Stegostoma tigrinum: one gene and its partner. The main gene of each other region encodes a partner of the protein of the gene in region 2 in a complex. Links are inferred from orthologs where the notes say so. Each region holds a gene or a part of one and is shown on either strand. Other genes may lie near its edges.

Evidence for each region.
Region 1: arvcfb (region 2) and pa2g4a share a complex: the UniProt entries of both Homo sapiens proteins name them as parts of the ribonucleoprotein complex. The link is inferred for Stegostoma tigrinum from reciprocal best matches to the Homo sapiens genes ARVCF and PA2G4.

Annotation. Positions count from the first base shown.
Region 1 is NC_081404.1:11,536,199-11,543,818, reverse strand, and holds the start of pa2g4a (proliferation-associated protein 2G4a), read right to left. Parts: upstream 3,224-7,620; 5' UTR 3,178-3,223; coding exon 3,093-3,177; intron 1-3,092. UniProt on the Homo sapiens protein: May play a role in a ERBB3-regulated signal transduction pathway. Seems be involved in growth regulation. Acts a corepressor of the androgen receptor (AR) and is regulated by the ERBB3 ligand neuregulin-1/heregulin (HRG).
Region 2 is NC_081379.1:6,035,255-6,042,641, reverse strand, and holds the start of arvcfb (ARVCF delta catenin family member b), read right to left. Parts: upstream 3,390-7,387; 5' UTR 3,342-3,389; intron 3,331-3,341; exon of another isoform or gene 2,698-3,330; intron 1,732-2,697; exon of another isoform or gene 1,707-1,731; intron 1-1,706. UniProt on the Homo sapiens protein: Contributes to the regulation of alternative splicing of pre-mRNAs.

The DNA.
Region 1 (7,620 bases), on a different chromosome or scaffold from region 2:
ATGTATATTTTGAATCATAGCATCCCCAGTGTAGAAACAAGCCATTAAGCCCATCCAGTCCACACTACCCCTCCCAACCCTGCATTTCCCAGGGCTAATCCATTTAGCCTTATATCTGAAAAGAAAACTAGTTTTGAGATATTTGGAAACCACAAGCTCAACTGAACACCTGTATGTAACAATAGATTCTAACACGTTAATCTCCAATTGTTAGAACATTTATCCCAAAATAAATTTCACCCCAAAGCAACTTCAGCCAACTAGATAAATAATTGCTATGCAGAAAAGATAAGCAGAGGGAGCACGTTGAGTAATTTTAGCTTCAACTATAAAAGTTTTGGAACAAGCTTGGCACGCACATTAAATCAGCAGAATATAATGTTCAGTTTCCACACTGTAAACAGCTGCTCAATTACCAGGCACATTTCGCCAATTAGGCCCCCCTCCTGCCAGGTTGCATTTTGTTCAAGTACTGGCAGCTTTCCACTACCTTCAAGTGATCGCTTCACATAACCCTAAACAGTGGGCACTGACCAACTGCCAGCTATGGTCAAATCTAACTTTACCTGGCATTCAGGCACAGACACCAGCACCAAACAGAAAACAATTAAATGAAAAATAGAAATAGGCTGCTTTTCTACACAAGAACTCAGGCACTTCACTGACCGGTGTCACAACAAGATCAGTTAACAAGTACACGATCAAGAATGAAGTTAAGAACCTTCTGATCTGTATATCACAGTAAACAATTACTAATTCAGTAATCAAGGGAGCTGTCCTGTGTTAATTTAAGTTAACTTTTTTTACTTCCCACACCATCTTCGCATGAAAGCTGCTGGACTAGAATTCCAAGAATATTTTATGACACTTTGGTCAAATAGCCATTATTCACACACCTCTGATAATGATAAGCCAATTTGACCCATCTTTGCATGATAGTGAAGAGTGATGAGTGAGCAGAGCTCTGTACAAATGAAGCCAATCTGGTCCTGGTTATAAAAATCCATGCATAGATGCTTCCAACAAGAGAGTCAATGGATAAAAGAGTACTGAGCAACTTTCTTTCAAAGAACAAAGACATTTGTGGACCCCTTCAAAACCTCTGTGCACATTCTGCACCACACAAACCAAGTATCAAGCCAGAGACCCGTGGAGTCTACAAAGTCACTTGTATATTGGCACTCCTTAGATCAGATGCTGCAACATCAATGAACTTACTGCTTACACATAGCTAAATTTGGCTATCTTTTCACAAGTGGAGGACCACAGACCGATAAAATAACAATAGACAACAGGTGCAAGAGTAGGCCATTCGGCCCTTTGAGCCAGCACCACCATTCATTATGATCATGGCTGATCATCCACAATCAGTATCCTGTTTCTGCCTTATCCCCATAACTCTTGAACCTGTAATTTTACCACATGGATTAGGGTGCAAACATTATAAACAGAGGAGAGCAATTGAAGGAAGTACATCCCCAGAAGGCAATTTGCAATAATCTGAACAAAATGCGTTGAAATCTCACTTTTTTTAATAGACAATAATCTGTTGCATTCAGAAAAATGCTGGATGTTACTGTTGTACAGTTCCATGACCTAGAACCTCCAACTTTATACCTAGCCAGGATGAAAATACCATTTTAAAGACAATGGAATGCTAAACAGAATTACAGCTTGGATACAAATTTCAAGCCTGTGATGCTGTTTAGAGCATAACATAAATAATTTTTAAAAAAAACAAACTTTGGCACATCATACAAAACATGACTCTAAGAATTCACAGTACCATACAGGATTCATTACTTTAGAATTCAAATCTGGGTTATAAAGTTAGCAGTTACACCAAATTTGAACCAGGATCAACTGTTAAAACTTATTCTGCAGGTTCAATCATTGAGGTTACAATTCTGTGATTCCATACAGCCACTTCCTATCTCCCAATGTGGGATATACAGGTGCAACTTAACATTAGACTGCTGGATAAATTATTTTTGGAGCAGTTTGCTGAAAGTGCTCCATACACAGCTTAAACCAGTTTCCTTTTAAATTTTGAAGAAATGCAATTTACAGAACCAGTCATACGGAAGCTTAAAATTTATCCTTAGCACATAATGCATATTTATAAACAAAAAGTATTTTTTGGAAGGTCACAGATGAATTAAATATTCATGTTAACTGATCGCAGCAGCATTCACCATACAGGTTAATTGTAGGTCTTGTATGGAGACACTTGCGCAAAGGGCACACGTGATGACCATGTGGTCAAATATCCCAAGACCGCTCACAGACAAGCATGGGGTTATCAGTGCCTTCAGGAAACAAGAGACACGGAGGGGAAAAGGGTCAAGGTACTTTAAAATTGCACACCCTAGCTCTGAACTTAAAATAAAAATCTTAGAAACAAAAATATTTCAAAAATGTGATCAAATCACGAAAGAAATAAAACGGAAGATTCCTGGGAAAAACGGAGGAAGTAACTTCTGGGAAGATAGACAGTTAATGTTTCAAATCAATTCATCAGAACTGCGTTCAAACCTAAAACGCTAACTCCTTTTTTCCCTTTACAAAATCCACTTTAAAAGTTTGAATTCCGACCACTTGCAACATTTTTTTTTGTTTTTAAGTGCTTAGATTTCCAGCATTTGTGGTATTCTGATTTTGTATTGTGATTGAGATTGAGATGTAAAATCAACCAACTCGAGAAACTAACGTTTCCAAAATTCCCCTTCAAAAAAAAGGCATGTTTCACTCTTAAGGAAGGGAACAGAGGACCACGCTGGCCGCTGCCATAAGGCGCCAGATTCAGGCTTTTTAAGCCCCTTCTCCTCATGGTCGGGCAGAGTGTGATTGATGGTTTTGGGGAGATGCAGGTGGGGGAAGAGACGCCGCGTTTCACTCTGCCGCAGTGGACAGATTGGGGTACCATCTGGACGAGCCGAGCCAACTCGAACCAGAGCTACTGTTGCCGCGGCCTCCCCGTTCTCCATGCGCCCACATGGCAACACCGCGCTCACAAGGCCCGATCCTGTTGTAGGGTCCACCATCCCAGCGTCGCTTGCCTCCCAGTCTATCTTAGAGACCCCCATACTCACGGTTAGCGATGTCTCCACCCATTTTGTACTTGGTGACCACCAAGTCCTCGGCGATGGTCTGTTCCTGGCTCTCATCGTCCGACATCTTTACCCTCCTGTTACCCACAGGCCTGCGCGTTCATCCTCCCGCCCACCGCCTTTCCCAACACTGATCCGCACCATCCTGCTCCCTGGGAAATGTAGTCTCATATACTTGCCGTCTCCAGTTTTTATGATAACAATTGGGGCAATGTAAAACTACAACTCCCGGAGGGCACCACGACAATAGTACATGCGAAATGAGGAGGCATTTGCCCGTCGAGTGATTTTTTTTACATATACCTCACGTTTTGTCAGATTTGAAGATCGAGCTGTTCTCCACCCCTTCCCTCCCGATATCTCCCCCCGCCCCCCCAATGAAACTGTACATGGCCTGTACAAGAGTGGAACAACCATCGAACAGTAAGACCAATTTAAACATTGTCACTGTTTCATACTGATAGTTCTTTTTAAATTTAAGCCTGACTGGCAATAACGTGGAACATTTAAAGGAGAGTGGCAGGCAGTTCCGTCTTAAACGTTTAGAAGAGAACCTGTTTGTTGTCATTAATAAGATGTATTATGTCCTGAATAAAACAAGTGACAGTTAATTTGCCAGTCGCCACTTTGTAAGAGTGACATTTAGTATGTATCGAAAAGTTATGTGTCCCTTTGCTTTCTGTAAGTGATTTTCAATCGTTTTCTTTCCGGTGGCAGACCCCTACAAAACTCGTGTCCTAAAGCCCAAAACGTCAATGTCAGGAACTCAAAGGTTATTTTTGGAGCAACACAAGTAATATAATACAACCACAAAAATTCTGACGACTGAGGGTAGGAACTGTCATCTTGAACATCTGTTGTAATATTCAATAGAGTAACTTATGTTGCATCAAAATATTTCACTTGTCCAACTACTAACACAATTTTGCTTCTTTGGGATGTCCAAGAAGACGTTCCATTAAAAGAGTGCCACCATCACATTGTTTATAGAGTGGACATAGATTCAGATCCTGGAACAAATAAACTCAGTTATTGCAAATTTGTACTGGGGAAGGTACCAGATCAGCTGTAGTAAAACCTTTCAATGCTTTTTGTAAACACTGAGAATACAAGAAATAGAAGCAAAATAGGTCATTCAGACCACTGACTTATGCCATTCTGAGAGATCATGGCTGGACTCGATGCTTATTCTTTGATTTAACAATCCCAATTCCTCACATTGCCATTGTTTGTTTTGCCAACCATCTCAAATAAGTGTCTTCTAGTTCTTACGCTTTCTTCAATGAGAACAATTTCCCCCATCTTCTCTTGTGCAGCAATGATTTTGAATATTTCTATAAAATCTTCTTTCAACCTCCTCTAAGGAGAAGAGTCCCAGCTTCTCCAATCAATCCTCTTAAATGAAGTTTATCCTCCTGGGAACAGTTATTGCAAATAAATATTTTCTGCATCTCTCTTGTGCCTTCACATCACAAAATCATAAATTTGTTCTGGTGCAGAGGAGGCCACTTGGCCCATTGTGTCTGCATTGACTCTCTGCATTTTGACTCACTGCCAAGTTCCTATGTTATCCCCATAGCCTACATGTTGTTTCTATTTAAATAATCATAAATACCTTCTTGAATGGCTGAATTGAACTCCCTCCACCACACTTCCAGGCAGTGTATTCCAGATTCTAATTGCTCACTGTGTGAAAAAATATTTTTCACCTAGCATTTACTTCTTTTGCAAACCACTTTAAATCTCTGCCATTTGGCTCTCCATTCTCTTATGAGGGGGAATAGTTTCTCCCTATTTTCTGTCAAAACCCCTCATGATTTTAAAAACTTCTTTCAAATCTCTGCCTCTCTCCGAGAAAACAGTCCCAACTTCTCCATAACTGAAGTCTCTCATCTCTGGAATAATTCACGTACATCTCTCTGTATACTCTCCAGTGCATCGACACCCTTTTTAAAGTGTGAACCCAAAACTATGAACAGTACTCCTGCTAAGATTGAACTGGTGCCTTGTATAAATTCAGCATAACCTCTCTTGTGCCTTGTGCTGCTATTAATGAAGCCTAAAACACAGTATGCTTTATTAACTGCTCTCCATCCCTCTAAAGGCCTAAGCAAAAATACACCAGGTCTGTCTGCTCCTGCACACCCTTTGGAGTATTACTCCTTTTTTTTGTACCTCTTCCACTTCTTTGTAGAAAAATGTATTGCATCACACTTCTCTGCATTGAACTGCATCTGCCACTTATCCATCCCCTGCACCAACTTCTTAATGTCCTTTTGAAGTTCGACGTCATCTTCCTCACAGTTCACAATTCTCCCAAGTTTTGTATTGTCCACTAACTTTGAAATTGTCCTCTGCACATGAAGACCTAGATAATTTATACAAATCACAAGGCATTTAATACTAACCCCTTCGGAACTCCACCACAATCCACCTTCTAAACTGAAAGTTATCCATTAACCATTACTCTGTTTCCTATCTCTTAGCTGGGGACATTTAAGAGACTGCTGGACATGCATATGGTCACAGAAATTTGAGGGTGCTTACGTGAGGATCAATGGTCGGCACAACATCGTGGGCTGAAGGGCCTGTTCTGTGCTGTACTGTTCTATGTTCTATGTTCTGTGTTCTAATTTTGTACTCATTTGCTACTGTCCCTTTTATTCCATTGGGTCATTACTTTTCTTCCCAGTCTGTCGTGTGACACTGTATCAAATGCCTTTTGGAAATCCATGTTTGCAATATCAACAGCATGACCCTCACCAATCTTCTCCATTACCGCTTCAAAAAAACTCCAGCAAGTTAGTTAAACACAAAATTTCCTTGACAACTGTATGCTGACTCCTCCAAATTAACCCATATTTTACCATGTGACAATTAATACCAACCTGAATAATTGTTTCTACAATTTTCCCCACCACCGAAAGTAAGATGATGGTCTATTTGGAGCAGGAGTAGGCCATTCTACCCCTCGAGCCTGTTCCACCATTCAGTGAGATCATGGCTGATCTGTGGCCTAACTCTCTATACCTGCCTTTGGCTCATATTCATTAATATATTCGCTTAACAAAAATTTATCGCAGATTTAAAATTAACAAATGGTCCTGCATACACTGCCATTTGTGGAAGCCAGTTCTGAATATCTACCACCTTTTATGTATAGAAGTGCATCCTAACCTCCCACATTAACGGTCTGGTGTGATAAGAGCTAAATGTAGGTGAGAAAGGGTGAATTATACTGAAAGCAACCCCTATAATGTGATAGTAGGCCTAGGAGAAGGGGAGAATGGATGAATGCGCTAAAGGCAACCCATGTCGTAATAGTACCAGGTGGGGGTGGGTAAAATAAAAAGGAAGGATGGAATCAGGCTGTAAAGTTATCGAACTTGATGTTGAATACTAGAGGCTGCAGGGTGCCCAAGTGGAAAATTAGGTGTTCTTTGGGCTTGCGCTGAAGCTTATTGGAACACTGCAGCAGGCCTGCGACAAAAATGTTGGCCTGGGAACATAATGGTGTGTTAAAACGGCAGGTAACTGGAAGCTCAGGGTCATTTTTGCAGACAGAACATAGGTGTTTTGCAAAGTGGTCACCTAGTGTATGTTTTGGCTCCCCAGTGTAGAGGAGACCACACTGTGATCAACAAATACAATAGATGAGTTTAATGAGGTACAGGTAATTGGCTGCTTCACCTGGACGATATGTCTGGGACCTTGGATAGCGAGGAGGGACAAGGTAAATGGGCAGGTATTACACCTTCTGCAATTGCATGGAAAGATGCTGTGGGGATGTGAGGAGATGCTGGGAATGGAGAAAGAGTGAACCAGAGTATCCCGGAGGGAATGGCCCCCACAGGATACTGATGAGGCAGGGGACGGTAATATGTATCTGGTCATGGCATCCCATTAGAGGTGTCAGAAATGGCAGCTTAATCCTTTGGATCCAGTAGCTGGTGGAGTAGTAAATGAGGACCAGGTGGACCCCCTCATTGTTGTAGCTGGGAAGACAAGCGGAAAAGGTAGACATGCAGGAAGTGGGTCAAATATGGCTCTGTCAACCACAGTAGCTGTGAATCTTTGGTTGAGGAAAAAAGTAGACATTTCTGAGATCCCCGCACCACCCCGCCCACCACAGAAGGTGGCTATGTCAAAACAGATGCAAAGGAGGTGAAGGATCTGGTATGGAGTCCTTACTGGAAGTAGCCTATGAGGAAATATAGGCAAGCTGACTCTGAGAGTTGTTGGGTTTGTAATGGATGTCAACGGCCAGCCTGTCCCCAGAAATTGAAACAGAGATTGGAAGCAAAATTGATAAATGTATCCAGTTCAGAATGAGAGGAGAAAGCAGCATCAATGATGTTGTTGATATACTGGAGAAAGTGTTCTGGGGTGGTGCCCAAGTAAGGTCTAATTTCCAAGGAACAGAATCCTAGAGTTTGTGTGATCTCTTATTGTAATTTAACATTGAGTTCAGGTTGATAAACCTATACTACACTTCTTCAACGCCAATATA
Region 2 (7,387 bases):
ATTCAACATATTCTAATTCGAAACCTAAACCCCCAATGAGAAATTCATTTGCCCTGAAAGCATGCTTCGGTCTAACAGTACAGGATCATACAGAGCTTCCCCCAAATTAATTCCCAATACCAGCCAGTGTTATTATGCAGTAAAAATAGCACAAAGAGAGAGACAAACTTTTCAAATAAAAAAAGAGGGAGAAAGTTTAACCAACTTGAGCTCCTCATACAACCCAATCAACAAATAACAGGTGCACTTTCAACAATGCTGTACACACCACGTCTAAGGAAGCCAAGTGGATTTGCTTTTCAATGCAACCACTACCATTTCTACTTGAAAATTAAGAATTTTGTCTGAGCCTATCACTACAAATGGATGATACATTGGCCCCAAGGTACAGAAATAGCAAATCATCTGAACACATTTGTCTTGAACAAGTCTGAAAACTTCAGGTAGAAATCATTTACATGTTGCTAATCTCAGTTGAATGAAACAACATTTTCCAAGAACAGTGGTAAAACAGACAGTTGAGTCTAGAGATTAAAAAGCAGATAATTAAGCAATTTATCACGACAAACTAGAATTGTTCTTGCATCCTGCTTTTCATCAATAAGGCTGTTCTAACAGCCATTTACTCTAGTGTGGATAAACAAGACAACTTGCAGTATTTCACAAATATTCTGAGAATGACAGAAACCCTAAGTTTTGAAAGACTGAAGTGCTCCCACCTAACTCATTGGGTCAGACAGCTGTGGTGTGGAAAGAGGCCCTTTGGCCCATCTCATCCACAGCAGTCAAAAATAACCACAACTATTCTAATCCCATTTTCCAGCACATGGCCCATATCCTCCTATGCCTTGGTATCACAAGTGCATTTCTAAATACATCAAAAGGGGAGTTCTTCCTCCTATACCTTCGGCATGAAAAGCAACGAGCATGATCGAATCTGATCTCAGGCCTCAAGATTGCCAACTTTGTGCCTCCCAAATTTCTAAACCCCTGGTTGCACTCATGTCAAAGTCAAACGGTTGTATGTTCAACTGCCAATTAACTTTTTTAAAGTACAAAATCCTGGCCAACACGTCAGTGCAGTGCTGGAAAAGTCGAGCTAGGATATGGCTTTTTTTTCGACCTGAGGACCTGACTTTTTTTTAAGAAAATGTCTGGAACAAAATCCGGTGGGACCAGAGTGCGGAGTTTCCTTTGTACGCTACATTACATTTGTTACTCAAACAAACCGATTTAAATTGCCCATTGCATCGCTGCCGATCGTACCATCGTGCAGTCAACTTGTTGACGCATTCACTTGGTGACTACATTTCAAAAATATTTTGTTGGCATCACAATAATACAGGACATCCTAAAATCGTTAAGGACGTGACTATTAGGAAAGACTAGGATTTCAATGAATTCGACAATAATTGCATTAGTATAGCACTCGGACTTAGCAAAAAGCAGTCTCGGTGCTTCCCAAGAACATCAAATAAACTTCTGACGCTGAACCAGACATTCGCACAAGGTTTTGTGCTCCTAAGATGCTGCTTGGCCTGCTGTGCTCATCCAGCTCCACACCTTGTTGTTTGAACAAGGTTTACGGCCCGGAAATAAATAATACAAATCACTTTCCCCACGCAAAAACGCTGAAACCAGACATTCTCTGTCCTGCGTTCCATAATTCCTATACGTGTCCGTGTTGCAACGGAATGACATTCTACCTCTTCACGTCTGCAAAGTGTCCACCTGCCAAGATCAACAAAACATGTTCTCAGTCCAAACTGCATGATGTAAATAACAGAGGCGGAGTCCGTTTTCATTGAAAGTTGTAAATAACGTAAAGCATGACAGTCCACGTTCTTACATAACCACATTTCTAGAATTAAACACGGTACAAAAGAACTGCAAGACAGTATTCCCCAAAAAAGATTAAATCTTAAAATCGATCCCACGAGTTGTCGCAAAATTAGATTTATTACAATCGTGTTAATTTCAATGTTACTTCTTTGCCAAAATAATTACCACTGACATTTAAAGTCAGCACACGAAAACTTAGACCACAAACTCCTCAGTTCATAACTCCGTAGAGAAAAATCAAACCACGACAGGTCACCAGACGGCTAGAAATGCACGGGTCGCCAGCGAACCATTTGTTGTATCTTCAACGCTAACGAATTTCCTCCAATGTCGTAGTATCAAATTAGAAATCACACCTTACCACCGCAGAATAAGCAAGCACATTTTGGCAAGATTAAAATGACTCCTAAAAACTGGTTTGACTGCACTCCCAAATAATTCAAACTCAACATATCACAGCATAATTTCGCCTTGCAGATTTCGACAACATCCTCAAGCTAAATACATTTGAACAGCCGTCCAAAGTGCAAAATAGAGAAAAGCAAAGATGGTTAAAAGATATATAATTGTGAATGATCAAGTTTCACATGATTCGGACTCAACCTATTTGTGCTCCACAACAGGAGCTCTTTCTCCTCTTTTTGTCCTCGTTCGCGTTCTTGAAAATCATTGGCAAAAATAGGGATCCGTAACAGGTAGCTGGAAATTAATGCAATCCACTAATATAAACAGCCAGATGCTATCATCTCGAAATGAAAATAACAAAATAAACGTTCAAGACATAATTCGGCCATTCTCGAAAATCATCACACGAAATTGGAAGAAATGGGCTTGATGGCATTGTTCATGGCATACCTTAGATCGGCTCTCCCAGTTTAGGAGAGGTTTCCTTCTCGAACCGGGGAGGGCGTCCCAGACAGATTAATTACAACACCTTTTGTTTAAGTTCTACTAGACCACTCATCGCGAAAAAAAACGTTTCTTCCACCAGAACAAACAGCCGAAAGCGTTGCCCGCCTCTTCCTTTCTGTGGTGTTGCTGCTCCTTTCGGCCTGACTTAACGGTGTTTTTGAAATACTAATGCGGGGGGGGGGGCGCGTGAAAAGAGAGATAAAAATCTTCCACTTCGTTTCCCCACCTCGTGTAACGGAGGGGAACAAGAGAGGCAAAAACGCTACAAAAAGAAAAATTGCAGCAAACGAGAACCTATTTTATTCCCCCACCCTCTTCTAAAAAGGATTTATCTGAAAGGGTTTATTACACCTCCTTTCCTGAGGAAAAACAGACCTGCTGCAGAGTTTGTCCTCAAGCCACTCACTTCTCCCCGGATTAATGTGCCTAGAGGAAGGGGTTGGGGGAAGGGAAGGGAAGATCGCGACCTGAAGTATATTCAATTAAAGGCGGAAGGGAGTAGGGGAATCTCTTATAATTCAAATAGTGGCTTTAAAAAAACAGAAAGCTTCAAATCACAGCTAACAAGACCGCTTCTGCGCCCGCACCTTCCTCTCCTTCTCCTCCTCCTCCTCCTCCTGTGGTGAACAGTCGACGAAACCGCACGCTCTCCCTCACATCGAATAGCACAACACCACCACCCCAGAAACGCCCCCTTACCGCGGCATTCCAGCAATCACGATCGCGAAAGCAATGACTGACAGAGATGATGCCCAATAGATTGAAAGCCGCTATAATTGGCAGCGTGAATAGCCAGTCGTCATCAGGTTGGGTGCCGTCGGTGATGATTGACGTGCATGAAAAGCAATCAGAGGTAGTTCGGCGTGCTTTGTCCCACCTCAGCCAATTACATCTCATATAAGGCGGGATGTTGAATTCCCTTCCGCCCCCTTTTCAAGATGAGCAGTTCAAATACAGACATGAGTTTAATAAAGTGTGAAGCTGGATGAACACAGCAGGCCAAGCAGCATCTCAGGAACACCTGAGATGCTGCTTGGCCTGCTGTGTTCATCCAGCTTCACACTTTATTATCTTGGATTCTCCAGTATCTGCAGTTCCTATTATCACAGACATGAGATTGATCGCCGTACACAGATAAACAGATTCTGTAAAGACTAACCAATCATTGTTGGAGGAGGGCGGAGAATCTAGTTGTTCGTAAAGCGCTCTGCACCAATAGGCTTGATTGTTGTTGAAGGGACTGCAGAGCTGAGGAATGATCAACGCCACAGATGTTTAAGTTGGTAAATCAGGTGCTCGTAATATCCAAGGTAAGAGTAAGTACTTTTTCATATTGTTACCTGTCACTGATTATCAGTTATCACCAAGTTCGCAATGTGTGGTTTTGATTTTGCTAAAATTATGTCTGGCACCTTGTGTCTCTCTTCTCTGGGCCCAGAAAGCTTATACGTTCTGAGTCACCCCTTCTTGACAGCCCCTTCAGGGTCTTCTAAAATCAATTATTGGACGAGGTATATTCCTGCCTTTTGTAAATATGTAGCCTTCAGCTGATACGTTGGAATGTTACGACAAATATTCCTCCTTGTGATTTAATTTATTGCATACATGTCATTTTTAGGTTTGCAGGTCAGAGAATTGTTTCGTTGCACCTCGATTCATCCACCTGTGTTTCTGATTAGAGTTGTCTACTCATATGACAGGAACAGTTTAGCAATTTAGAGATATATGTTTAAGTACCAGCTATGCATTGTGCTATCCTTCTTGAAATATAAACTTTATTTGTTGACCTTGCCTGAGAGTTGTAGTTTGCTTTCCTGGCGAAATAAACAGTGGATGTTGGACTGTCCCAGCATTCAAAGCAGTCTGACAATCTTTTAATAATTTACTGTAGAATGGGCAATTAATAAGTTACAGAAAACTGTGGATGCTGGGCATCAAAATCTGGCAGTATCTGTGGAGAGACAGCAAGGTTAGCGTTTCAAGTCCAGTGACTAGCACAGTCCTGGGGTATCAAAATATTTCTGTATGAACCTCCTGTTAAATGTGAAAGCGATTGTATGTCTGATTGCACTAATAATAGAAGAATATTTAAATAAATCTGTTTGCCATATAAGATGCTGAAGATTTTGTGTTGTAATAGGTACTAAATAATAAAATAATAATTTGCGGAATTACTTTTAATAAGGCTGTCCTATTTGTTTCTTTTTCATAAGCTTCTAATAATGTTATAACAGAACTACAGAAGTGTTATGGTGTGGAAGGAGGGAGTACCTGCAGTATCTTGTTAAATGAACATCGTCACCTAGTTCCAATCTCCTGCTTTTCCCCCTCACCATTGCACATTATATTTATCCAAATAATCATCCAATGCCTTCCTGAATAATTCAATTGAACCTGCCTCCATGACACTTCCAAATTTTCCATACCATTGACTCAGTGAGTGGAAAAAAAAGTTTTCCTCTTTTCATCTTTGCTTATTTTGCAGATCACATAAAATCTATGCTCTCTTCTTCTAGTTCCTTTTATGAGAGTAAGTTTCTCCCTGTCTACTCTGTCCAGCTCACTCATGATCTTGAAAACCTCTATAAAATCCCCTCTAAGTCTTCATCTATGTGTGGAGAACAGTCCCAACATCTTCAGTCTTTCATGATTATCAAATGCACAAGACTAAAAAAAACTCACTGACATCTAGCCAAGATCCTCACCAGAATAAAATTCACAAAACAAGGAGGGAACAATAACTGACTACCCTTCCTAGACAGTATATACAGAAAGACCACACATACGGACCGGATACTCAATTACTCCAGTAACCACCCCAACAGCCATAAACAGAACTGCAGCAGGACATTATTCAAACAGATCACAATACACTGCAGCAATCCAGAATTGAGCAATGCAGAACAGGAGTGCTTATACAGAGTTTTTAAAAGGAATGGATACCCAAAAAGCACAATCCACCATTACCTCCATGACAGACCACAACAAAAAGATACAACACCGCCAGGCACACAAACCATTCTACTGTACATCAGAGATAACCACAAGACTACTCAGATGCCTAGGTATCAGGATAGCTCACAAGCCAACAACCACTCTGCGACAGCTACTGATAATGTAAAGGATCCCATACCCTCAAACAATAAAACTAACATCATATACAAAATACCATGCAACAACTTTGAAAAACAGTACACAGGCCAAACCGGAAGAAAACTGACAATAAGGAAACACGGACACCAACTAGCCACCAAGAGACGCAATCAATTCTTACTGGTTTCAATACACACTGACAAAGAAGGATACAAATTCAACTGGGACAACATGTCCATAATAACACGAGCCAAACAGACATACCAGGGCGGCCTGGCATTCCAACCGAAACTCCATCAACAAACACATACGAACTGCTGAAAAACAGAACTGGAAGTAATGCCAACAACCCCAGCAAACCGAGGCACATGTGTAACAAGTGGGACAGAACACTAATACTTCACCAGTGGCAGACAGAAAATGTTACCTAGCAGGCTGGTGAAACGTTTACAAACTAAACCACCAGCTTGGCAAGTAAGTCTGCCACCTAAACCTACACTGTACTCCTTCCAAGGGCAATATATTCTTCCTAAGTAGAAGATCCTGGGTCTGCTGTCAGGACCTCAAATGAGGTCTAACCAGGGTTTTGTACAAGTGCAGGATAATGTTGGCATTCTTATACTCCACTCCACTAAATTTGGAGGCCAGCATTCCATTCGATTTTTGTTTTTTGATTATTTTCTGTGCATTTTGTGGCACTGTGAAGAGCTATGCACCTAAACCCTAAGTCTCTTTGAACCTCCACTCTATTTAACTTCATATCATCTTCAAAGTACCCTGATCTATTCTTTTTTGGTCCAAAATGCGTAACCTCAAACTTGCATACTTTGAACATCATCTACCACAGTTTTTCTCAGTCACCTAGTTTATCAAAGTTCCTTTGTAATATCACCTAACTTTGTGTGGTCAGCACATTTGTATGTATGACTTTCTTTGCCATTATCCAAGTTGTTAATAAATAATGTGAAGAATTGACACTGAACACAGATCCTTGTGGGACACCATTGGTCACATGCTGCCAGTTTGAGTACCTATTCCCAACCAATTTTTCAACCTTGTCAATAGTTAACCCCTGAATTAATTTGACACAGTTATATTTGAGTACAATATGCGAATCAAGTATGCTTTGGTCTGAACAGATTTTTAAAATTGTGAATTCTGTAAGTAATTTTAAGCAAAACTTAGAAAAACTTAACATACGTGATTTTACATAATACCTTATCTTCAATTGTCAGTCTTAGGTTGGTGGGGGAAACAGTAGTGGGTTAGAATGTGAAAAAATAGAGGAGAAGGTCAACATTAAATGAAATAAGTCTAATGAGAGAAGAGACAGGGCTAAGTTAATGAATACAGCAGGACTGGCAGTCAGGAGTTGTGTTTACTTTTAATGCAAGGAGTATAATATGTAAGGCAGATGAGCTTAGACCTCGGATTAATATATGAGACTACGTTGTGGTAGCCATTGCAGAAATTTGGCTGGGAGAAGGGCAGGACTAGCAGCTCAACATTCCAGGATTTGGGTACATTTGGAGAGCTGGAG